Anolis sagrei: one gene and its partners. The protein of the gene in region 1 purifies or fractionates together with the protein of each later gene. This does not show direct contact. Links are inferred from orthologs where the notes say so. Each region holds a gene or a part of one and is shown in the gene's direction. Other genes may lie near its edges.

Region 1 (7,827 bases):
GGAGGAATGTCTGCACTTTTGGAGACTCCCATCCCCACCTCTCTTTGAGCAAAAAAACTGATGCCAATTATGCAAGTAGTGGTTTAAATAATTGTTAACAGTGCCTGCCAAGCCAGTTCAAACGCATCAAGTGGTCTGAACTGCCAGTGATCTAAACTATACCGATGTGTTGCTTAGCTTTACTAGAAAGTAAAGTAGGATGCATCTACACTGTAGAGCACATCTACACTGTAGAATGAACATAATGTGACAGCCCTTTAATAGCCATGGCTCAGTTCTATGGAATCCTAGGGTTGCAGTTTGGCAAGGCACCAGCAGAGAAGAATAAAGGCCTTGTAAAACTAGAACTCCCTTGATTCCATTGCATTGATCTTTGGAAAACTGGTTCCTATGGCCGATTACGGATTTGAACCCGTAAATCCTAAAGTCCTAGTGCAACACTGAAATCACTACGGTATACTGGCTCTCGTCTTGTTTTAATAATATCCCAAATCTGAAGCCTTTTCAGACTTGATCTACACTACTATGTGATGCTGTTTGGAACTGCATTTATATGGTCAGTGTAGACCCATATGCAGTTCAGTGCACCCCAAACTTCATTATATGTGCCTACACTGACTATATAATGCAGTTTCAAACAGTCATAGTGTAGTTCCTCTACATCAGGAGTCCCCAAACTAAGGTTCACAGGTTGGATACAGTCCTCCAAAGTCATTTACCCACCCCTGCCCTAAACTTTAGACTTAGGGTCACTCTGAGTCTGAAACAACTTGAAAGCAAACAACAACAACAACAACAACAACAAAAACAATCTTAATTAGCTTGACTATCTCATCAGCCAAAAGCAGGTCCACATTTCCCAATTCAATACTGGTAAGTTAAGTTTATGTTGGTTAAAATGATTCTTCATTTTAAATATTGTATTATTTCATGTCTATTTGTACTACAAATAAGATATGTGCATAGTGGAATCTTATTACTATATATGTGCCCTATGATAGGACTGCTGGGTGCTTCCATTCATAGAGAGCAGAAACAAAATAACTCTGTAATTGTATGGGAGAGAGTGGGTTTGCCTATGTGTGAAAGGCCCTTTCTTTGAACTTCTTGGCCTCTTTCTCAAGTGAAAGGGCCTTAAAAGCGTGTTGCCTCCATAAAACGTTGGGCATGACTGGGCAGCCTTTGACTGTGGACAGAAACAGGCAGCTGCTGAGGCTTGTGGCGTCTCTTGCCCAGTGATCAAGGCAGGCTGCGCTTCATTTATTTTATTAGGCAAAGTCCCCAAATGTTGGGTTTGAGAAAGTCTTGCTGAGGGAAGTCAACAGCGCTCTCTGGCGGGAGATGTGCGCTTCTTAAAAAGAAAACACATCTCCCAGGAGGAGCCCCTGTTTATATATAGGAGTGGTTTCCAAGAAAGCTTGCCCCAGAGCCCAAAAAAAGAGTGGGTTGGGTGTTTTGGCCTTCTGTCCTCCTCCCAGTTATTTCCAGCTGTTAAACTGCATCTTGAAACTTAAAAGCATAAGTCTTACCTAATGTGACCTTTCCAGGATATGAGAAATCTCTCTATTTATTACAGAAATAGGATACTGTGGTGAGGTTTCGTTTCAAGGCCTGTTAGGATGGAAAGATGCATATTAAAAACATCATATGTACTTGTGGCCCCCATTTATCCCTCAGGGAGACTTAGCTTTAAATACCTGCATGTGTAAGAATTCAGTTTAAGGATAAATACCCCACAGGAATAAAAATCTAAAATCATATTACAGTCTATAATTGTTGGAGTTAGGGATACAGGACTCTCAGGAAAGTGAAAAAGCATAAATAAATAAATTTGTGCCCTTTTTAAAACCCAAAAAAACATATCTCTAGGAATTGGCAACCCCACCTCTGAGCATTCCCTGTAAAATAGTTAATAGGCGATATAAAGGCACAACTACTCACAACTTTACTTGAGTTAGGGAGGAGTTGTTGGATCATGCAAGGAATCAGTGAGTGCAGTGTGTATCCACTGTAAAATAAGATGCATTAAGCTGATTGATCAGGCAATGCCTAGGGAGATGGCTGAACTTGAGACTTTTGAATACTGTTACATTTTTGTTCAGGCTTAGGCTATGCAGGGGCAGAGAGAGAAGAAGAGAGAAGCAGAGAGAGAGAGAGAGAGAGAGAGAGAGACTGATTTGCTTCTTGGCTGCTAAAAGAAGGTTGCTCACATGGACACAGAAAGGACCATTTTAAATCTCTCATGTTGTTGTTCATTTGTTCAGTCGTCTCCGACTCTTTGTGACCTCACGGACCAGCCCACGCCAGAGCTCCCTGTCGGCCGTCACCACCCCCAGCTCCTTCAAGGTCAGTCCAGTCACTTCAAGGGTGCCATCCATCCATCTTGCCCTTGGTTGGCCCCTCTTCCTTTTGCCTTCCATCTTCCCCAGCATAATTGTCTTCTCCAGGCTTTGCTGTCTCCTAATGATGTGGCCAAAGTACTTCAACTTTGTCTCTAGTATCCTTCCCTCCAATGAACAATTGGGCATTATTTCCTGGAGGATGGACCGGTTGGATCTTCTCGCAGTCCAAGGCACTCTCAGAACTTTCCTCCAACATAAAAGACATTTAGTAAGTTGATACAGCTGATCATATTGTACAGATGTTGTTCTAAATTAAGAAGAGTAAACTACTTGTTCTTAACTGTTCACCTGCATGGCATATTTTCTTTCCCTGGCAAGGCAGTATGTGGGCTGGTTAAAGATGAACTACATGTGGTTTATTTTTCATAACACCACATAGTTGAATTTTGTCTTTCTATGCTCACATGTGTTCTGCAGTTGGTGGTGGTAGGCCTAGCAGTTGGTGATGAAAGGATTAATTCAACCCTTAGTTCTAAAGGGTTGAGTAATCTGTAAGTAAGAGTTCATGGGTGAAAGCAATTAAGGATGGAGGCATGCAAGAGATAGTGTTTCTGGATATAATGAACTAGACTTGGAACTAATCTTCGGGAGAAAAGTAATTGTCTTATTTTGCTGGTAGATGCTGCTGGTTTTCCCCCAGGTTTGTGGATTTTTGGTATCCTTACTTGTCTTCAGTACTCTTGTAACCCTGGAATCTTGAATCTCTGGACTGGCTTCTGACTAGACTCTTGATTCCTGGACTTCCTCATTGAACTCTCGGCATTTGACCACTGAACTGGACCTTTTGACTACGGTGTTATCTTGAACATGCAACAGTGTTTGCTGTCAGTTTTTGTTTTATATTCTGTGGCTGACTGCTATGTTTATGTTTTATATTTTGGACTATTATAACAGCCAGAAAGTAAGTGTTGTTTTAATTAAATTGTTTAGCATAAACTGGAAGTTTGTTTGATCCATCTCTACCTTAATATGGTGTTTTGGACAACGTGCAATGCACCAATGCTTCAACCATTCTGATTTTGCCCTTATCTATAGCCAGTGTTCCTACGAGTATCCCTGTAGATCTTAAAAAGCTATTTCTTGATTGAAGGTGTTGGTGTACTGGCTGATATCCAAACAGAGGATGGGCCGGAGATGTCAATGCCTTGGTCCTTTAATTGCTGGCTGCTACTTTCCAGCGAATATCAGGTGGTGCTATACCGGCTAACAGTATAATTTCTCCAGCGTAAACATGTCTCATTAATGTGACATGTCTCATTAATAGTCACATCCACTGTTTTAATGTGCTGAGATGTATTCCATACTAGTGTGCATACTCAGCAGCAGAGTAGCAAAGTGCAAGGGCTGTATCTGGTTGTGATCCCCAGGTTGTGCCAGTCAGCTTTTGTATGATATTGGGTTGCTCTGAGTTTTCTGGGTTGCATGGCCATGTTTCAGAAGCATTCTCTCCTGATGTTTCACCACATGATATGAGGATGATATTGTTTCTAGCACCCACTTTTTGCTTGATAGTGAAGAAGTGCTTCTTGTAAGTCTTAAAGACCAGGCATGGGCAAACAGGGTTAAACCCCTGTGCCGGCAGGACTGAAGACCGACAGGTCGCAGGTTCGAATCCGGGGAAGAGGCGGATGAGCTCCCTCTATCAGCTCCAGCTCCTCATGAGGGGACATGAGAGAAGCCTCCCACAAGGATGATAAAACATCAAATCATCCGGGCGTCCCCTGGACAATGTCCTTGCAGACGGCTAATTCTCTCACAACAGAAACGACGCTCCTGACATGACAAAAAAAAGTCCAAAACACTTGGAGGGCCTAAGTTTGCCCATGCCTGCTGTAGACAATGGAGATATTGAAATAATTCAAGATTTCCCCCCATCCTTTGGTTAAGTCATTAATCAGAATGGGGATTGCAGGCAAAAAAATAATGAAAAGAGGGTAGCTATGAAGAAGTTTGTTTGACAAGTCCAAGTGAACTTGTTACTGGGGTTGCGGCTCCTTTAAGACAGTCCCGCCCAAACTCTAGTCCTCTTGGGCAGCTGGACTTCAACTCCCAGAAGCCTTAGCTGCCTTGGCTAATGAGCAGGGATTCTGGGAGCAGAAGTCCAAAACACCTGGGAGACGAGACCGGCTTTAAGGGCAGCCTGCGGTTGCTAAGGACGCTGAAAGGGGCGGGGCTTCCTCTAGGAAGCAGGCGGCTCTCCCTTTCCCTGCGCGCGCGACAGGGGGCTTGCACCATGGAGGACGACTTGGATTTGGACGAAGAAGTCTGCAAGGGGGTAAGGCCAGCCTGGGGTTGCCATGGCGACGGCGGTGGGAGGGGGCGCTTCCTCCTCGCCCAGGTTTTCCCTCCCGCTCTCTCTGCGCAAAATGGCGCGGCCCAGTCGGCCTCGGCCTGCGGAGCTCGACAGCCAGCCGTGCCTCTCTCCTCAGGCCGAGTCTCTCTGGGGGAAGGGAGAGGAAAAGAGCCAGGACTCCGCGGTGTGCTCCTTGTTACTTTTACCTTGTTGTTGTTGTTGTTGTTGTTGTTGTTGTTTGCCTTCAAATCCGGCCTAACACGACTCTGTCACGGCTTTCTTGGCAAGATTGGTTAATGGCCTTCTTCAGAGGCTGAGAGAGTGTGACTTTGCTCAAAGTCACCTAGGGTGTAGCTACACCAGGCCTGGTCAAACTTGGGCCTTCCAGGTGTTTTGGACTCCAACTCCCACAATTCCCAGCAGCCTCAGACACTTTCCTTTTCCCCCTCAGCTACTTAAACTTGGGCCAAGCAGCTGAGAGGGAAAAGGATGGGGCCTGAGGCAGTTGGGAATTGTGGGAGTTGGAGTCCAAAACACCTAGAGGCCCAAAGTTTACCCAGGCCTGATCTACACAGTTCTTCCCCAGCTTATTTGTCTGAACGCATCCGCTCCTATGTCCCAACTCATAATCTAAGACAGGGGTTCTCAAACTAAGGCCCGGGGGCCAGATACGGCCCTCCAAGCTCATTTACCCGGCACTCACTCAGGGTCAACCTAAGTCTCAAATGATTTGAAAGCACACAACAACAACAACAATCCTATCTCATCAGTCAAAAGCAGGTCCACACTTCCCATTGAAATACTAATAAGTTTATATTTGTTAAAATTGTTATTCATCTTAATTATTGTATTGTTTTAAGTGTTTTTTGCATTACAAATAAGATATGTGCAGTGTGCATAGGAATTCATTCATGTTTTTTTCAAATTATAATCCGGCCCTCCAACAGTTTGAGGGACTATGACCTGGCCCTCTGTTTAAAAAGTTTGTGGACCCCTGATCTAAGATCATCCGGGGAGGCCCTGCTCTCGCTCCCGTCAACAGCACAGATGTGCCTGGCAGGGACAAGAGACAGGGCCTTCTCGGCTGTGGCCCCCCGCCTATGGAACACGCTCCCAAATGAGGTAATTATTATTATTTATTATTTACTTTATTTGTATACCGCACTATCTCAGCCCGTAGGCGACTCAGTGCGGTTTACAACAGGACAATATACAAAGTGCATAGCATTAGCATCTAAACAATCACTAAAGCAGTTAAAACAATACAACAATACATCAGTAAATGAACAAACATCAATACATCCAATAAGGTAAGATCCGCTCCCTTTCTCCTGGCTTTTAGAAAAAAAATTAAAATTATGGTTTTGGGACCTTCGGGCAGTAGAAGTAAAGGTATGCAGCATTTCAGGAAGACGATGACAGCAACAGCAATTTGACGAACAAGACTGTTTTATTGCTTATGGAACTATGGTTTTTATTTGATTTATGTTTGAGTGTAGTGTATAATTGTAATTATTTGTACTGGCATTGAATTTTGCCATTACTTATGTGTAAACCGCTTTGAGTCCCCCTTGGGGTGAGAAAAGCGGTATAGAAATACTGTAAATAAATAAATAAATAAATAATAATAATGCACTGTAGAACCAAACCTCAGCTGATGACAAAGGCCTACTATGTTTAGGTAAGGACTTCCTTCAGGTCCAAATAGGTTTCAGTTAATTGTTCTTTTGTGTAATAATGAAGAAACCGAGGTATCAGATGAGGTAGACTTAAATCTGCGAAAGCAACCACCTTTTTGTCTCAAGATTAGTCTCACATGCCTTACAAGATCCTTTTGTAAGCTCGCAGAGTCAGTTCTCACTGTAGCTGCCATTGTTTGTAAAATCTTTTGACGCAAATTCTTACTGTTTCCTTTTTTCAGTGGAAAAGTATTTCCAATAAGTCTATTGCAGTCTGCCGTCAAGTCATTTCTGACTTATGGCCACCCTAAAATGACCTTATCACAAGGTTTTCTTGGCAAGAACCTGCCTCAGAGGCACCTGGAAGGAGTATTGCTCTGATAGCCTTTCTGACTACTGAGAGCTATACGTCGATCAGTCTTATCCAGAATCATTCAGTGGCACAGATTCAAATTTTGGTTTTTAATTTTTAAAAAATTCCTTTTAAAAAACATTTATTTTCAAAATTATTGTGAATTGCTCTGCACAAAATTATACAAAAATTCAAAATATTTTCCATTGTTAACATATGTTTACATCATTTCTCCTCTTTCTCCCCCCTCTCCTTCCCAGAAACAGTTTTCAGATTTTGCTGTACTTACTACAATGGTTTGATCATGAGGATAATCTTGTTTAATTCCTTATAATTATCTTTCCCTTTATTCTGTAAATTAAGCCTTTCCATTTTGCCTCCCATGACTTTCTGATTTGGACCATCCTGTAGTAACTTTTCCTTTTGCTAATGTAGTTTTGGAGACGGTAGTCTGCTAAATATTTAGTGAATTAGATACAAATTTTGTTTTTAAAGCAGAGGTACACTGAATTTTGATAAGATCTTCATACTCTTCTTAAAAAGATTTTTCAAAAAGCTTTTAAAGATTTTTTTGTGGAATCCCTACCATGCTTTTGTGGAACACAGTGGGGAATTGCTGATTAACCTGTCTATCTTTTGATCTGTCTATTATGTCTGGGAAAACTTTGGACAATCAGAATTTGGGACTTAAGACTTTTAAAAGCCTCAACTAACATTTTTAACATTAAAGGATTCTGGGGGTTGCAGTCCAAAACATTTGAAAAGCCAAAAGTTCTCAATCCCAACATACATTTTTGTCGCTGGACTTTTGAACCATTTGGACTCTTTGTGTTTTATGTAGATAGCAAAAATGGGTCGACGAGCTCATCCGGATTTCACCCATGATGAAAATCGTCGTAGCAGGATCAACTCTCCTCCTGTAGAGGTAGGTGTATTTAAATTGGTCAACACTGCTTACAGCCTGGGGTTTAATTCTCTAGTAAAGGGAACCAAATGATTTTTTTTGTCTAAGGTAGACATCTTAGACACAGGTGGAAATTGAGATCCTGTAAGTAAAACAAATTATTTCTGCTGCTCTAGAACATATTGTGGAATACTGTC
Region 2 (8,085 bases), on another chromosome or scaffold:
ATCATGCAGCTGTGGACAAGTCTACACAAGGACCACCAAACGCATCATTGCCCAAACACGAATCAAGGAACATGAAAGGCAAGGCAGGTTACTTCAACCAGAGAAGTCAGCCATAGCAGAGCACCTGATGAACCAATCTGGACACAGCATTTTATTTGAGAACACAGAAATGCTGGACCACTCTCACAACCACCATGTTAGACTACACAGAGAAGCCACTGAAATCCACAAGCATGTGGACAATTTCAACAGAAAGGAAGAAACCATGGAAATGAACAAAGTCAGTTAGAGCAGGAGTAGAGTCCGTATGCTGCAGTGAGATGTCAGTTAATATATGAGTCTGTTTGCAGCAGATGTATAGTACAGTGAGTTGAAGTATAGTACAGTGTAGTACAGTTTTAAGTTTAATTCAGTTGACATCTGTTTCAATAAGCAATGTACCTTCTTGCTAAATACACAAAGCTTGTAAGTATATCAACGATGTTAACTTTTAACGAAGACTACTTATTTTTTTGGTCTCTTAAGAACATGATTTTAAAACAATATATTTTATGGGAGAGTAGATTATATATTTTTGTGCAACAGAAATAACACTTCTGAAGATCTGCTACATATTTTATGCATTGGCATTTCTTTGTTCCTAGCGGTTCAAAGAGATAGCCAAGTATATCAGTCTAACAGCTGAGAAGCCTAAACTGCCTTGTATAAATACTAGTAATTTACCACTAAGGTAGTGGTTCTCAACCTGTGGGTCCCCAGGTGTTTTGGCCTGCCAGAAATCCCAGCCAGTTTACCCAACTGTTAGGATTTCTGGGAATTGAAGGCTGAAACATCTGAGGACCCACAGGTTGAGAACCACTGCACTAAGGAGAAGATTGACTCAGGTGAGTTTGTAACTCTTCTTGGGAAGATCATACTTTACAAAATGGTTACGATCTCTATCAAGGTCATGCCTTTCCAAAAGGTTATGATTATTCCAAATAGTCTGGCTACCAGTATTGAAAAAACTCTACAATTACAACAGCAAAACAACAGAGAGGAAACAATATGGGACATGTAATCACCTCTCAACAAAAGATTGCCCCAGGCACTGCCAGGCAATCAAATGCTAATCAAGGTGGTCAGTTGAAACATTCACACCTAGCTCCAGGAAACAAGAGTCCTTTGTCCCACCCTGGTCATTCCACAGATATAAATCCTTTTCCCTAATTCCAACAGACCTCACTACCTCTGAAGATGCTTGCCATAGATGCAGGCGAAACGTCAGGAGAGAATGCCTCTAGAACATGGCCATATAGCCTGAAAAAACCTACAACAACCCAACAAAATTAGTGTTGCATAGTGTAATCTGTGTATCCCGCCCTCCCTCCACACTAAGCTCTCTCCCACCAAACCTAAAGGACTGGTCCCTTCCCCGGCCTCTTGACCCCATCCTCGCCTCTCTCACCTGTTCTTGGGGCTGGAGCGGCGGGGACTGGCTGCAAGCCCCGTTCTCCCCCGCCTTGAAGGGAGAACGTGGCGAGCCAGCCGCCAGTCCCTCAGGCGGTCGGTACCGCCGTCTTCCGCCTCTTGGGTTGTTTGAATTTGGCGCCCAACAAGGACGTTCGACGCCACGTGACGGCGCCGGGCCAATTAGAGCGCAGGGGGCGGAGCCTGTGAGGAAGGAGAGCGAACGGTAGGAGCAGCGGCCCAGGCGCATCTCTTTCGGAGGCAGACTTGCTGTGTATGTGTACACATGCGTCAGGATAGGTGTTTTGAGTTTGTATATGGGTGCCCTCACCTGCCACAGTCATTCCCCAGCTCTGGCTCTCCACGGTTTGGAAGGGACTCCAACTCCCAGAAGCCTCAGCTGCTCTGACCCAGGATAAGGGATTCTGGGAGTTGAAGTCCCAAAGGGTTTTCATCCTCCAATGTGGTTTTGCCAGTTTCTTCCTCTGAAATGCTGCCTGCAACAGCTGGCATTTGTCAGCGGCGTCCCATTCAAGAGCTGGCCCTGCTGACTTTGCAGGATCAGACGCCATCTGGGGCGTTTAGGATTTATGTTGACAGTTAACTGTCCTGCAGTTCCAGAAATAAACGGAATCACCAAAACAGAGATATTAATAATGTTGTAAAATAATATTTATACTTAATAATACAATATTTTATAATAATATAATATTTATACTTATGATATAATACAATATAATATGATCTATATAAATCAAAATATAATGTTCGTTTGTGGGATTAACTGAACTCAAAAAGCACTGGGGGAATTGACACCAAATTTGGATGCAAGACACCTAACAACCTAATGTATGTCCTTCACTCAAATTTTTTTGATTTTGTCATTTGCGAGTTGTAGTTGCTGGGATTTATAGTTCACCTACAATCAAAGAGCATTCTGAACTCCACCAACGATGGAATGGAACCAAACTTGGCACACAGAATTCCTATGACCAACAAAAAATACTGGAAGGGTTTGGTGGGCATTGTCCTTGAGTTTGGGAGTTCTAGTTCACCTACATCCAGAGAGCATTGTGGACTCAAACAATAATGGATCTGGACCAAACTCTACACGGATACTCAGTATGCCCAAATGTGAACACGGGTGGAGTTTGGAGAAAATAGAATCTTGACATTTGGGAGGTGTAGTTGCTGGGATTTATAGTTCACCTACAATCACAGAGTATTCTGAACCCCACCAACGATAGAATTGGGCCAAACCTCCCACACAGAACCCCCATGTGGGCCACAGCAACGTGTGGCAGGGGACGGCTAGTCTATATAAATAAAAAGTAATGTTCGTTTGTGGGGTTAACAGAATTCAAAAATCACTGGGGGAATTGACACCAAATTTGGACATGATACACCTAACAACCCAATGTATGTCCTTCACTCATAAAAAAACAGCAGAAGGGACTTAAAAAGCTAAATGACGAAAAGCTAAATGACAATACAGAAAAAAAGGAAGAAAGAGGAGGGAAGGGGAGAAAAGAAAGAAAGAAAGAAAGGGAGGGAAGAAGGAAAGGGAGAAGGAAGCATATAAGCAAAGAGAAAAGGAAGGAAAGAGGTAGAGAAGGAAGAAAGGGAGGAAAAGAAAAAGGGGAAAGGAAGGAAAGTTAGAGAAGAAAGGAAGGAGAGAAGGAAAGAAAGAAGGAAGGAAAGAGGGAGCGAAGGAAGGGGGGAAGATGTAGAGAAAGAGGGAGGGAAGGAAAGAGAGGAGGAAGAAAAGAGCAGAAGAGAAAGAAAAAGGGGGAAGGAAGGAAATAGATAGAGAAGGAAGGAAGAAGAGAAGGAAAGACAGGAAAGAAGGAAAGAGGGAGTGAAGGAAGGAGGGAAAAAGGGAAGGTTGGCCACAGCAATGCGTGGCAGGTACCACTAGTAATATAATATTATTTATTTACAACATTTATATGACGCCCTTCTCACCACGAAGGGAAATCAGAGCGGCTTACAAGATAGATATACATACATACATACAAACACACACATACACACACACGCTGTGCCACTAGGGGCCCCCAGTAGTATAGTACAGTATAATAATATATTTATTTATTTATTTACTAGATTTATATACCACCCCTCTCAGCCCACAGGCAACTCAGGGCGGTTTACAGTCAGTACCAATACCAAAAAGTACAATTAAAACATTAATATAAATATAAAAGAAGTAAAAACAATCAATATCAATTAAAAACATATATAATTAGAGTCTCCTTGTTCAAACAGTGTCCAGTCACGTCGTCCAGTCTTTCCATTTTTCATCTGTAGTAGTAGTAATTTTATTGATTAACCCTTAGGCCATATCACAATAAGAAACAGAACAACAAGGTCTGATAAGACCCGATCACACTCCACGTAGTAAGTTAAAATAAGACACTTATAACGATACAGTAAATAAATATGATAAGACATGATAAAACTGATAAACTGATCAAGCTGAGTATATACATCATATTTCATTATCACCCCTACAACTTACCCCAATCAGCCCTAAATATGTGGTTCTCAGACGTATTGTTTTGCTTAAGTACAGAGCTGTTTTGTATGTTATTTTTGGGTCTTGACCACACATAAAATATGTTGTTCTGATGTGAGATTCCCAATACATTGTCCATTTGACAATCTAACCATTGTCTCGAGCTGATCAAATCTGACTCGAGTGAATACCTCCCTGAGATTTTTCATCTGTAAACGCTTACTCGGCCCCTCTTCCTTTTTCCCTCCATTTCCCCCAGCATCATTTTCTTCTCTAAGCTTTCCTTTCTTCTCATGATGTGGCCAAAGTACTTAATATTTGCCTCTAATATCCTTCCCTCCAGTGAGCAGTTGGACTTTATTTCCTGGAGGATGGACTGGTTGGATCTTTTTGCAGTCCAAGGCACTCTCAGAATTTTTGCAACACTATTTTTGTTGGGTTGTTGGTTTTTTCGGGATATATGGCCATGTTCTAGAGGCATTCTCTCCTGACGTTTCACCTGCATCTATGACAAGCATCCTCAGAGGTAGTGAGGTCTGTTGGAACTAGGAAAATGGGTTTATATATCTGTGGAATGACCAGGGTGGGACAAAGAACTCTTGTCTGCTGGAACTAGGTGTGAATGTTTCAACTGACCAACTTGATTAGCATTTGATGGCTAATAAAGGTGGTCAGTTGGAATTTCAAGCATAATTGGCATTTCGGAAGATCTGTGCACGATGGGTACCCAGGATGCTGACGCTGGTTGCGGAAACAGTGTCGACTTGTTCTGTGAAGGCTTCAGAAAACTTGTTCATCGTTGGCAGAAACGTATCCAATTGTCTGGTGATTATGTGGCAAAGTGAATAGTGGTAGTTTAAGAGCACATTGTAAGGATTATTTCTGCGTTTGATTTATTAAAATATTCCCATCCAAACCCAAGTAACGAAGGTGGAGGCATTACTTTTCAATCAACCCTGGTAGAGAAAGATGTTGAAGAGCCCTGGGCCCAGGTCTGAGGAGAAGGCCGACGTCACGCTCTTTGCAAGTTGATGCGTGGCTTTGTTTTCTCCCTCACCCCGCTCTGGCTGCGCCCAATGAGGAGCAGGCGTTGTGCGCACGCGCCGCCCAGTGCCTCGCGGAGGCTCCAGGGGCGGGAAGGCGGAGGAGGGGGGCGGTCCCAACCCGGCGAGGGGGCCGCCCCCTCCCCTGGTTGCCATAGCAATGGCAGGATGGCCAGCCGGAGCGGAGTGACTTTGGCTACCATGGGAGCCAGGTGAGGCCAGGGCCCGAGGGTCCTCTTGGCGGGGCGCCCCCTTTTGGGCGAGGGGGGTGCTGGGGCCGCAGCAGAGGCTGGAGGGAAGCCCAGGAGGGCGACGCCCGGCCCGCGAGCTTGCAGGGATCCCCGCCAATCAGCAAGCGCGCGGAGGCCTCCCTGTCTCGAGCTCTGCGGCCGGAGAGAAGGCTTTTGCAGTGTATCATAGAGGCGCTGCTTCCTCTCACCCGGAAAGAAGGGAAGGGGGCGCCATGGCGGCTGCTCCTTCCCCCATCTCCTTGGTCCTTTTCATCAGTCAAGCCTATTTTTATCAGTGGAAGGGAGGCGCCTAAAGGCGAAGAGCAGGGAGGAGGGCACCCAGATCTCTGGAAGTTTTGAAGCAGAAGCTGGATGGCCATCTGTCGGGGCTGCTTTGATTGTTCTTTTCCTGCATGGCGTGGGGTGGGCTAGATGTGGTGACTTCCAGCTCTGATTCTTCCATCTCCTTCCCCCTAGCAACAATATAGTACTATAGAACACTTTTTTTTTGTTCTGTCAGGAGCGACTTGAGAAACCGCAAGTCGCTTCTGGTGTGAGAGAATTGGCCGCCTGCAAGGATGATTTGATGTTTTATCATCCTTGTGGGAGGCTTCTCTCATGTCCCCGTATGAGGAGCTGGAGCTGATAGAGGGAGCTCATCCGCCTCTCCCTGGATTCGAACCTGCGACCTGTCCGTCTTCAGTCCTGCCGGCACAGGGGTTTAACCCAATGCACCACCGGGGGCTCCTATATAACACTAATATTGTGCTATGCTAATCTATATAAATAAAAATGTAATGTTCGTTTGTGGGATTAACATAACTCAAAAGCCACTGGGGAAACTGACACCAGATTTGGACACAAGACACCTCTCAGGCCAACAAGTGACCATCACTCATAAAAACACTGAAAAACACAGCAGAAGGGACTTTAAAAAGCCAAAAAATACATTACAATGCATACGCAAAACCACATATATATACACAAACACACATATATACACACATATATGCATACACACAGAAAGAAGGCAGGAAGGAAAGAAAGAAGGAGGGAGAGAAGGAAGTAAAGAAGGGTAGAGAAGAAAGGAAGGAGGGAGAGACGAAGGAGGGAAGGAAAGAAAGAAAGGCAGAGAGGAAGGAGGGAGAGAAAGAGGGAGAGAAGGAGGGGAGAGAAGGAAGGAAAAAAGAAGAATAGAGAAGGAAGGAAAGAGAGAAGGAGGGAGAGAAAGGGAAGGAGAGAAGGAAGGAAGGAAGGAAGGAGAGAAGGAGGGAGAGAATGAAATAAAAAAGTGAAAGAGGGAAGGAAGGAGACAAGGAAGGGTGGAACCAAAGAGCTAAGGAAGCGAGAAAAGAAACAGAAGGAACAAAGAAGAAGGGAAAGAAAAAGAGGAAAGGAAGGAAAGAGGGAAGGAAGGAAGGAGAGAAAGAAAGAAGGAGAGAAAGAGGGAGGGAAGATTGGCCACAGCAACACGTGTCGGGTACAGCTAGTAATATATATTGTATATACATATAATATTGATAATAATAATATAATAATAATGATAATACAATATAATAATATTAATTCTATATTATATATTACATGTAATATTACAGTATACCAATATAGGACAATATAGTAATATATAATGATAATTTTGTGCTATGCTAATAATCTATATAAATAAAAATGTAATGTTCGTTTGTGGGATTAACATAACTCAAAAACCACTGGGCGAATTGACACCAAATTTGGACACAAGACACCTATCAGGCCAACGAATGACCATCACTCATAAAAACCCTGAAAAACACAACAGAAGGGACTATCTATATATATAAATCTGTTAGGTTGGTTCAACCGGACAGCAAAACTCCACAACCCCCCAACGAAACTGTACCAAAATTGCCATGCCCATAACACAACCCACAAGGTACAAACATATCTACTCAAAATGAAAAACAACACAACAACACACTCACAAAACGGCAAAACAACAAAACTCAAAAAACCCCAACGAAACTTAACCAAAATTGCCATGCCCATAACACAACCCACAAGGTACAAACATATCTACTCAAAATGAAAAACAACACAACAACACACTCACAAAACGGCAAAACAACAAAACTAAAAAAAACCCAATGAAACTTAACCAAAATTCCCATGCCCATAACACAACCCACAAGGTACAAACATATCTACTCAAAATGAAAAACAACACAACAACACACTCATAAAACGGCAAAACAACAAAACTCAAAAAACCCAACAAAACTTAATCAAAATTGTCATGCCCATAACACAACCCACAAGGTACAAACATATCTACTCAAAATGAAAAACAACACAACAACACACTCACAAAACGGCAAATCAACAACACTCACAAACCCCCCAACGAAACTTAACCAAAATTCCCATGCCCATAACACAACCCATAAGGTACAAACATATCTACTCAAAATGAAAAACAACACAACAACACACTCACAAAACGGCAAAACAACTGAGCATGCGCATTGGTGCCCAGCCGCAAGTTCCCTGGCGCGCGCACACAGTTCCCTCTGAGGAAGCCATGCCCACTCCAAGCCCCGCCGCGCCGCTTCCCGCACACACACCCCCTGCCGCACGCACACACACAACCCCACGCTCTATCACTCCCCCCGCCGCACACACACACGCAACCCCACGCTCCATCACTCCCCCCACCGCCACAGACACACACGCAACCCCACTCCCCCCCGCTGCCGCACACACACACGCAACCCCACGCTCCATCACTCCCCCCACCGACACACACACACGCGCAACCCCACTCCCCCCCGCTGCCGCACACACACACGCAACCCCACGCTCCATC
Region 3 (7,918 bases), on another chromosome or scaffold:
TGTCAACAACAGTTTTAAAGGTTCCTTCTAGGTTGAGAGAATGTGAATTTACCCAGGGTCATGCAGTATATTTCTGTGGCTGAGCACAGATTCTTAGTTTCCTTGACTCGTCATCCAATGTTCAAACCATTACATACTGTACCTATCTTTCCACATACTAAGTACACCCACTCATTTCTCTTAAGATTAATGGCAATCTTGTGATTCTACAGAAGTTGGTGGGTCCAAATTTCTAGCATTCCTTACCATTTTCTATGCTGACTAAAATTATTGGGAGTCGCAATCCAAAAACACCTGAAAGCCCGTGTGATTCCTGTACCTATCCTAAGATGAGCAAGCAATAGGTTACACCAGAATGGCTCAAACTGTTCCTCCAGATGTTTTGGACTTCAGCTCCCACAATTCCTTACAGCTGGTAATTTGGCTGGGATTTCTGGGAGCTGAAGTCCAAAACACCTGGAGGAGCACAGTTTGAGAAACACTGGCTTAAACAATGGCTTAAGTAAGAATGCCTTGAAATAAGCCTTTAAATGGAAAGAAAACAAAACATCTGACCATTCATTTTTTAAAAATAGTCTTTATAATATAATCAGTAGAGCATCGCTAAAGCTGATGATATATTTTTGTAAAATATCTATGAAGCATCTCAGGAGAACCATATATAAATTTTCTAAGTCAATAACAGCAAATGTTGATAGCATCATACTGGTATTATGGAGGATTTAAATTAACAGCATCTGTTATGGGAAAGTCCAGGATAACTAAAATGAACCTGCAACTCAGATAAATGTTTATATAATGCAAGGAGTGCCAATTTATAGTCTCCCATTGATTTTAAAAATGCATATTAAAAATTTAGAAAATTCTGATGGGCACCTACAGGCAGAGCACATGCCAGCTAAAATAAATTCCAGCTCTCCTCAAGGGTGTCAGAACAGTGATATGTAATTATCACCAATCATTTACATTAACTCAGGCAGTTTTAAAGTGTGGAGAGGTGGAAAGGGGAGGAAGGTCGCTGTTCTAGATTTGAAATCTTTTTCTTTAGATATTTTAAGGAGTGATTCTGCCTATGTACATCGGCCCACATACTAAGATCTGCAGTACACTGTGTGGAGACATGAAGCAGAGTGCATGGGCTACGTGATGCCTCTCCCTGGAGACAAAATTAGCTTCAACATTGACATGTTTTCAGTGCCAAGTTTATTTGTTGTTTCAGAAGCGAACCGAGGGTACAGTTGTAATGTATTTTTAAAAAACTTGGCATTATACTAAATGTCCTTTGACCAGTAGCTGGCCACTTGGGAGTGCTTCTGGTGTCGCTATAAGAAGGTCCTCCATTGCGCATGTGGCAGGGCTCAGGCTGCATTGTACTAGGTGGTCTGTGGTTTGCTCTTCTCTTCTCTCGACACATGCATGTCGTGGACTTCATTTCTTAAGATTGCCTCTGCATCTTGTGGTGCCAGAGTGCAGCCTATTCTGTGCCTTCCAAGTCACCCAGTCTTCTGTGTGCCCAGGGGTGAGTCTCTCATTCAGTATCAGCCATTGCTTGAGGTTCTGGGCTTTACCCTGCCACTTTTGGACTCTCACTTGCTGAGGTGTTCCTGCAAGTATCTCTATAGATCTTAAGAGAGCTATTTCTTGATTTAAGGCATTGGCGTGCTGGCTGATATCCGAACAGAGGATGGGCTGGAGATGTCACTGCCTCATTCCTTTCATTATTGGCTGCTACTTCCCAGTGGATGTCAAGTGGTGCAATACTGGCTAAACAGTATAATTTCTCCAGTAGTGTAGGGCATAGACATCCTGTGATAATGCAGTATGTCTTATTAAGAGCCACATCAACTGTTTTAGTGTGGTGAGACATGTTCCACACTGGGCATGCGTACTCAATAGCAGCATAGCAAAGCGCAAGGGCAAATGTCTTCACTGTATCTGGTTGTGATCCCCAGGTTGTGCCAGTCAGCTGTTGTACGATATTGTTTCTGGCACCCACTTCTTGCTTGATATACAAGCAGTGTTTCTTGTAAGTCAGAGCACAGTCCAGGGTAGTAATAATAATAATAATAATAATAATACTCATCATCATCATCATCTTTATTTATACCCTGCCACCATCTCCCCAAAGGGGACTCGAGGTAGCTAACATGAGGCCAAGCCCTGAATTACAGGACAACAAAATAAAATAAAATACAAACAGCAAATAATAACATCAAAATAAAATACATCCAATAACAGAAAATGAAATAAACAGATGCAAACTAACATGATGAAGAAGAAGAAAATAAAAGCAAGGTAGGCGGGCCAAATGCACAGAATAAAATTGATAAAACCCTGGGTGAGATAAGTAAATGGAGAAGTATGAGTCTGTGGGGCAACTCAGAAGGGCTGAACAATGGGATTGAGCCTACATTAAAGACAACAAAAAGTGCATCATGAGGACAGAACTATATTTGGTACGGACATGATATAGGGATGTGTTCACTTGCCAAAGGCATGCCAGAAGAGCCAGATTTTTAGGACTTTCTTAAAGGCTGTCAGGGCGGGGGCTTGCCTAATCTCACTAGGTAGCGAGTTCCAAAGCTGAGGGGCCACAACGGAAAAGGCTCCCTCCCTCATCCCCACAAGTCGCACTTGAGATGTAGGTGGGAGCAAGAGGAGTGTCTCCCCCTAGGATCGAAGAGATCATGCAGGATTATAAAAGGAAATGCAGTCACGAAGGTAGGCGGGTCATGCCTACCTGCGTGACCGTATTTCTGTGTACGAAGGAAATGCAGTCACGCCTACCTGCGTGACCGCATTTCTGTGTACGAACCCACACGATCTCTTCGTTCATCTGGAGAGGCCCTGCTTGCGTCCCCAACTCCTTCGCAGGTGCGATTGGTGGGGACGAGGGAGAGGGCCTTCTTGGTGGTGACCTCCTGACTCTGGAACTCACTTCCCAAGGACATCAGACATGCCCCAACTCTGGCAGTCTTTAGGAGGAGCCTGAAAACGTGGTTGTTCCAGTGTGCCTTCCCAGAATAAGGAAAACCCTCAGCAATATGCCCTCAAAATGCACTTTACCATTGATTTGGGATTGATTGCGTTCCTTCATCTCTCCTTGAAAATTCTGCCCTAGTTCTATCCTACCTTGTCCATGTCCAGCATTATTCTTAATTTTAATCTATTGCATTTGGCCCGGCCATTGGTTTTAAATGCTTGTGTGTTACTGTTGATGTATTGTTTATTTTTTGTTATGTGATTTTTATTAATTGTATTGCTTTGTTTGTTTTGTTATTGCTTTTGTTTATTGATGTACTGTACGTTTGGCCTCATGTAAGCCGCACCGAGTCCCCTGGGGAGATGGTAAAAGGTAAAGGTAAAGGTAGTCCCCTGACATTAAGTCCAGTCATGTCTGACTCTGGGGTGTGGTGCTCATCTCTATTTCTAAGCCGAAGAGCCAGCCTTGTCCGTAGACACCTCCAAGGTCATGTGGCCGGCATGACTGCATGGAGCGCCGTTACCTTCCCGCCGGAGCGGTACCTATTGATCTACTCACATTTGCATGTTTTCGAACTGCTAGGTTGGCAGAAGCTAGGGATGACAGCGGAAGCTCACGCCGCTCCCCGGAATCGAACCTGTGACCTTTCGATCAACAAGCTCAGCAGCTCAGTCCTTTAACCCACTGCGCCACCGGGGGGAGATGGTAGCGGGGTACAAATAAAGTTTTTATTATTATTACTAGCTGTCCCCTGCCACACGTTGCTGTGGTCCACATGGCTGTTCTGTGTGGGAGGTTTGCCCCAATTCTATTGTTGGTGGGTGATTGTAGGTGAACTATAAATCCCAGCAACTACAACTCCCAAATGCCAAGGTCCATTTCCCCCAAACTCCACCAGTTTTCACATATTGGCATATTGTGTATTTGTGCCAAATTTGGTCCAGATCCATCATTGTTTGAGCCCACAGTGATCTATGGATGTAGGTGAACTACAACTCCAAAACCAAAGGTCAATGTCCACCAAACCCTTCCAGTATTTTCTGTTGGTCATGGGAGAACTGTGTGTCAAGCTTGGTTCAATTCCATCATTGGTGGGGTTCAGAATTCTCTTTGATTGTAGGTGAACTATAAATCCCAGCAACAACTCCCAAATGACAAAATCAATTTTTTGAGTGAAGGACATACATTCGGTTGTTAGGTGCCTTGTGTCCAAATTTAGTGTCAATTCATCCAGTGGTTTTTGAGTTATGTTAATCCCACAAACGAACATTGCATTTTTATTTATATAGATGATGATGATGATTATAAGTGTCTTGTGGCTAAATTTGGCAGCATTTCATCCAGTGGTTTTTGAGTTATTTTAATCCCACAAACGAACTTTACATTTTTATTTGTATAGATTATATAGAAGATACGTTATTAGTTCATCGTCTTTTGCAACTCCCTCTGGGAATCTCTAGAGCAGGCCTGGGCCAGCTTGGGCCCTCCAGGTGTTTGGGACTTCAACTCCCACAATTCCTAACAGCCTGAGGGGGGGGGGGGGAGGAAAGGTCCTGAGGCTGTTAGGAATTGTGGGAGTTGAAGTCCCAAACACCTGGAGGGCCCAAGCTGGCCCAGGCCTGCTCTAGATCCTCCAGGATGACACTGTAGCCAACTTCAGCTAGTTTGGAAGATGACCGTAGAATCGTTCAGCTTTAAAAAACCACTGCTTACTTTAGATATGGGAATATCCACACTGGTATCAATTTTAGTTCCATTTCCCAGAAGCCCTGGCTATAGACCAGATCCGCCGAGCCTTCTGGGAGTTGAAGTCCAAAGGTACTCTCGTTCAGGCACCCGTGACGTATAACAAGACACGCCCTCTGCTGGGGGCCGCCATCTCCTGGGTGACGCCGACGCTTGGAGAGGGGAGGGGCCAGCCGAGGCGGGTGATTGCGCAGGCGCAGTCGCTCTGTTTTTTTCCCTCTCTCTCCTTAAACACCGTCGGAGTGAAGGCGAGAAGATGCAGGTCGGTCAGGGCTGGGAGGGGTGGGAGGGCGGTTGGGCTTTTCTAGGCCAAGTCACAGTATAGTGTGCAGCAGGCCTGGGCAAACTTGGGCCCTCTCTTCAGGTGTTTTGGACTTCAACTCCCACCATTCCTAACCCCCTCAGCTAAGCGGCTGTGTGGGGAAAGGAAGAGGCCTGAGGCTGATAGGAATTGTGGGAGTTGAAGTCCAAAACACCTCAAGAGAGGGCCCAAGTTTGCTCATGTCTGATCTAGAGATTCTCAGGAATACAGACCAGATTGTAATTGCAAAATATATGATAGCAGCGACCCAAGCAACAGTTGCCTTAGGATGGAAAGATGAAGGGAAATGGGGATTTTAGAAATGGCTCAAATATTGATCAGAGTATATGTTCCAAGACTGCATATCATATATATATGAATCATAGAATCATAGAGTTGGAAGAGACCTCATGGGCCATCCAGTCCAACCCCCTGCCAAGAAGCAGGAATATTGCATTCAAATCACCCCAGACAGATGGCCATCCAGCCTCTGCTTAAAAGCCTCCAGAGAAGGAGACTCCACCACACTCCGGGGCAGAGAGTTCCACTGCTGAACGGCTCTCACAGTCAGGAAGTTCTTCCTCATGTTCAGATGGAATCTCCTCTCTTGTAGTTTGAAGCCATTTGAATGGCCATCCAAAGGAGAACTGGCAGTTAAAGTGGAAAAGGATTGTAGTCAGAATGAAAGGGAAACTATAAGGATCTGAACCAAAACATCATCATGATTGAAAAAATAATATAAAGTTTAAACCAGCGGTCCTCAAACTAAGGCCCAAGGGCCAGATACAGCCCTCCATGGTCATTTACCCAGCCCTCGCTCAGGGTCAACCTAAGTCTGAAACAACTTGAAAGCACACAACAACAACAACAACAATGCTATCTCATCAGCCAAAAGCAGGCCCACACTTCCCATTGAAATACTAATAATAGAGCCCCCAGTGGAGCAGTGGGTTAAACCCCTGTGCCGGCAGGACTGAAGGGTCGCAGGTTCGAATCCGGGGAGAGGCGAATGAGCTCCCTCTGTCAGCTCCAGCTCCCAAAGCGGGGACATGAGAGAAGCCTCCCACAAGGATGATAAAAACATCAAATCATCATGGCGTCCCTTGGGCAACGTCCTTGCAGACTGCCAATTCTCTCACACCAGAAGCGACTTGCAGTTTCTCAATAATAATAATAATAATAAACTTTATTTGTACCCTGCTACCATCTCCCCAAGGGACTCGGTGCGGCTTACATGAGGCCAAGCCCACAATACAACAATAAACAATAACAACAGTAATACAAATCACTCCTGACACACAAAAACTAATAAGTTTATATTTGTTAAAATTGTTCTTCATTTTAATTATTGTATTGCATTTAAGCGTTTTTTGCACTACAAATAAAATATGTGTAGTGTGCATAGGAATTCATTCATTTTTTTTCCAAATTATAATCTGGCCCTCCAGCAGTTTGAGGAACTGTGACTTGGCCATCTGTTTAAAAAGATTGTGGACCCCTGGTTTAAACCAATGAGTAGAGTTATATCTGTCCCCATAGGGAGGTGAGTAGGAGGAAAGGGGAGGGAGAAAATGGATATGTATAAATAATAGCTACTGAGCTACTGAACTTGCTGACTGAAAGGTTGGCGGTTCAAATCAGGGAGTGGAGTTGTTAGCCCCTGTTTCTCCCAACCTAGCAGTTCAAAAAGATGCAAATGTGAATAGATCAATAGGTACCGCTCCGGTGGGAAGGTAATGGCACTCCATGCTGGCCACATGACCTTGGAGGTGTCTATGGACAAAGCCGGCTCTTTGGCTTAGAAATGGAGATGAGCACCACCCCTCAGAGACAGACTCAACTGGACTTAACGTAAAGGGGAACCCTTTACCTTTATCTATAAGTGATAGATGTATTGAACTGTAAAAGATAAAATGTAATCAACAGAATGTGTTATATGTGGTAAAAATAATAATATATTGTGTATATGCGGTTGTGACAATGTTACAAATTACTTACATTTAACCAATAAATAATAATAATAATAGTGAACAAAGTTTTCCCCTTAGCTATTTCTCTAAACATCACTTGTTGAATTTTTGTTTATTACCACAACTAGGGATTCAGATTTCTATTTCCCAGGGATGTCAATCTCCCTGATTGTTTTAGAGCAAACAAAAATTCAACAAGTGATGCTCAGGGAAATTGCTAAGGAGAAACTTGTGTGTATTGGATTGTGCTCAGTGGTTTCCATGGCAGTGAGTGGTGAATCCAATCTAAGTTTTAAACTAGGCTTTAAAAGAAGCTCTTCAGGATGCAAAATAGGTCCGGATCTTTTGGATTTGAGGTTATCCAAAATGTGGGGTGGGTTCTCTTCCCTGGGTTCACAGGATGCTATGTTACAAAGAAATCTGTTCCTGGTTTGAAAATGTTATTTCCTGTTTAATTGTGCGGTACTTCCTTTGAAAGTAGTTGTTATACTCCAGAAACTTCATTTTTGTGGCTGCCACAAATATGTTGAATTGTTGTGACTCTGAGATATTGAAAAACTATAGCAAAATGTGTTGCAGCACATTTTCCCCATGTTTTATGACAGAACCAATTAGGAAATAGCATTTATAACCAGGATCAAATATTGTATGTTTACAAACTTATAATTGATTTTGTTTTTCTTTTCATAGCGAGTGTTTACCCTTTCAGAAAAGGATTCACCTAGTTCCCCCATACAATTTGCTTGGCAAAAAGCTCTAGGAAACTACATTGCTGTTACAAGGTAAGATAACATATGGTCAGTGCTCCATGTTTGTGAGTTTGACTTTTGCAGATTTTATTATCTATAGAATTGACTAATGTTCTCCCTGGCATACTCAAGAGCAATTTCCTCTCAAAAGTGACCATGGAGTCCTCTG

The links.
Region 2: the proteins of IFT43 (region 1) and TULP3 purify together in Homo sapiens (affinity purification with mass spectrometry; 5 studies listed by BioGRID and IntAct, counting the BioPlex papers as one, with this or other methods). This does not show direct contact. The link is inferred for Anolis sagrei from reciprocal best matches to the Homo sapiens genes IFT43 and TULP3.
Region 3: the proteins of IFT43 (region 1) and WDR19 purify together in Homo sapiens (affinity purification with mass spectrometry; 3 studies listed by BioGRID and IntAct, counting the BioPlex papers as one, with this or other methods). This does not show direct contact. The link is inferred for Anolis sagrei from reciprocal best matches to the Homo sapiens genes IFT43 and WDR19.

The regions. Positions count from the first base shown.
Region 1 is NC_090021.1:305,623,844-305,631,670, forward strand, and holds the start of IFT43 (intraflagellar transport protein 43 homolog), read left to right. Parts: upstream 1-4,746; 5' UTR 4,747-4,768; coding exon 4,769-4,879; intron 4,880-7,567; coding exon 7,568-7,651; intron 7,652-7,827. UniProt on the Homo sapiens protein: As a component of IFT complex A (IFT-A), a complex required for retrograde ciliary transport and entry into cilia of G protein-coupled receptors (GPCRs), it is involved in ciliogenesis.
Region 2 is NC_090025.1:104,602,631-104,610,715, reverse strand, and holds the start of TULP3 (tubby-related protein 3), read left to right. Parts: upstream 1-5,069; 5' UTR 5,070-5,178; coding exon 5,179-5,222; intron 5,223-8,085. UniProt on the Homo sapiens protein: Negative regulator of the Shh signaling transduction pathway: recruited to primary cilia via association with the IFT complex A (IFT-A) and is required for recruitment of G protein-coupled receptor GPR161 to cilia, a promoter of PKA-dependent basal repression machinery in Shh signaling.
Region 3 is NC_090025.1:119,211,684-119,219,601, forward strand, and holds the start of WDR19 (WD repeat-containing protein 19), read left to right. Parts: upstream 1-4,902; 5' UTR 4,903-4,985; coding exon 4,986-4,991; intron 4,992-7,690; coding exon 7,691-7,782; intron 7,783-7,918. UniProt on the Homo sapiens protein: As component of the IFT complex A (IFT-A), a complex required for retrograde ciliary transport and entry into cilia of G protein-coupled receptors (GPCRs), it is involved in cilia function and/or assembly.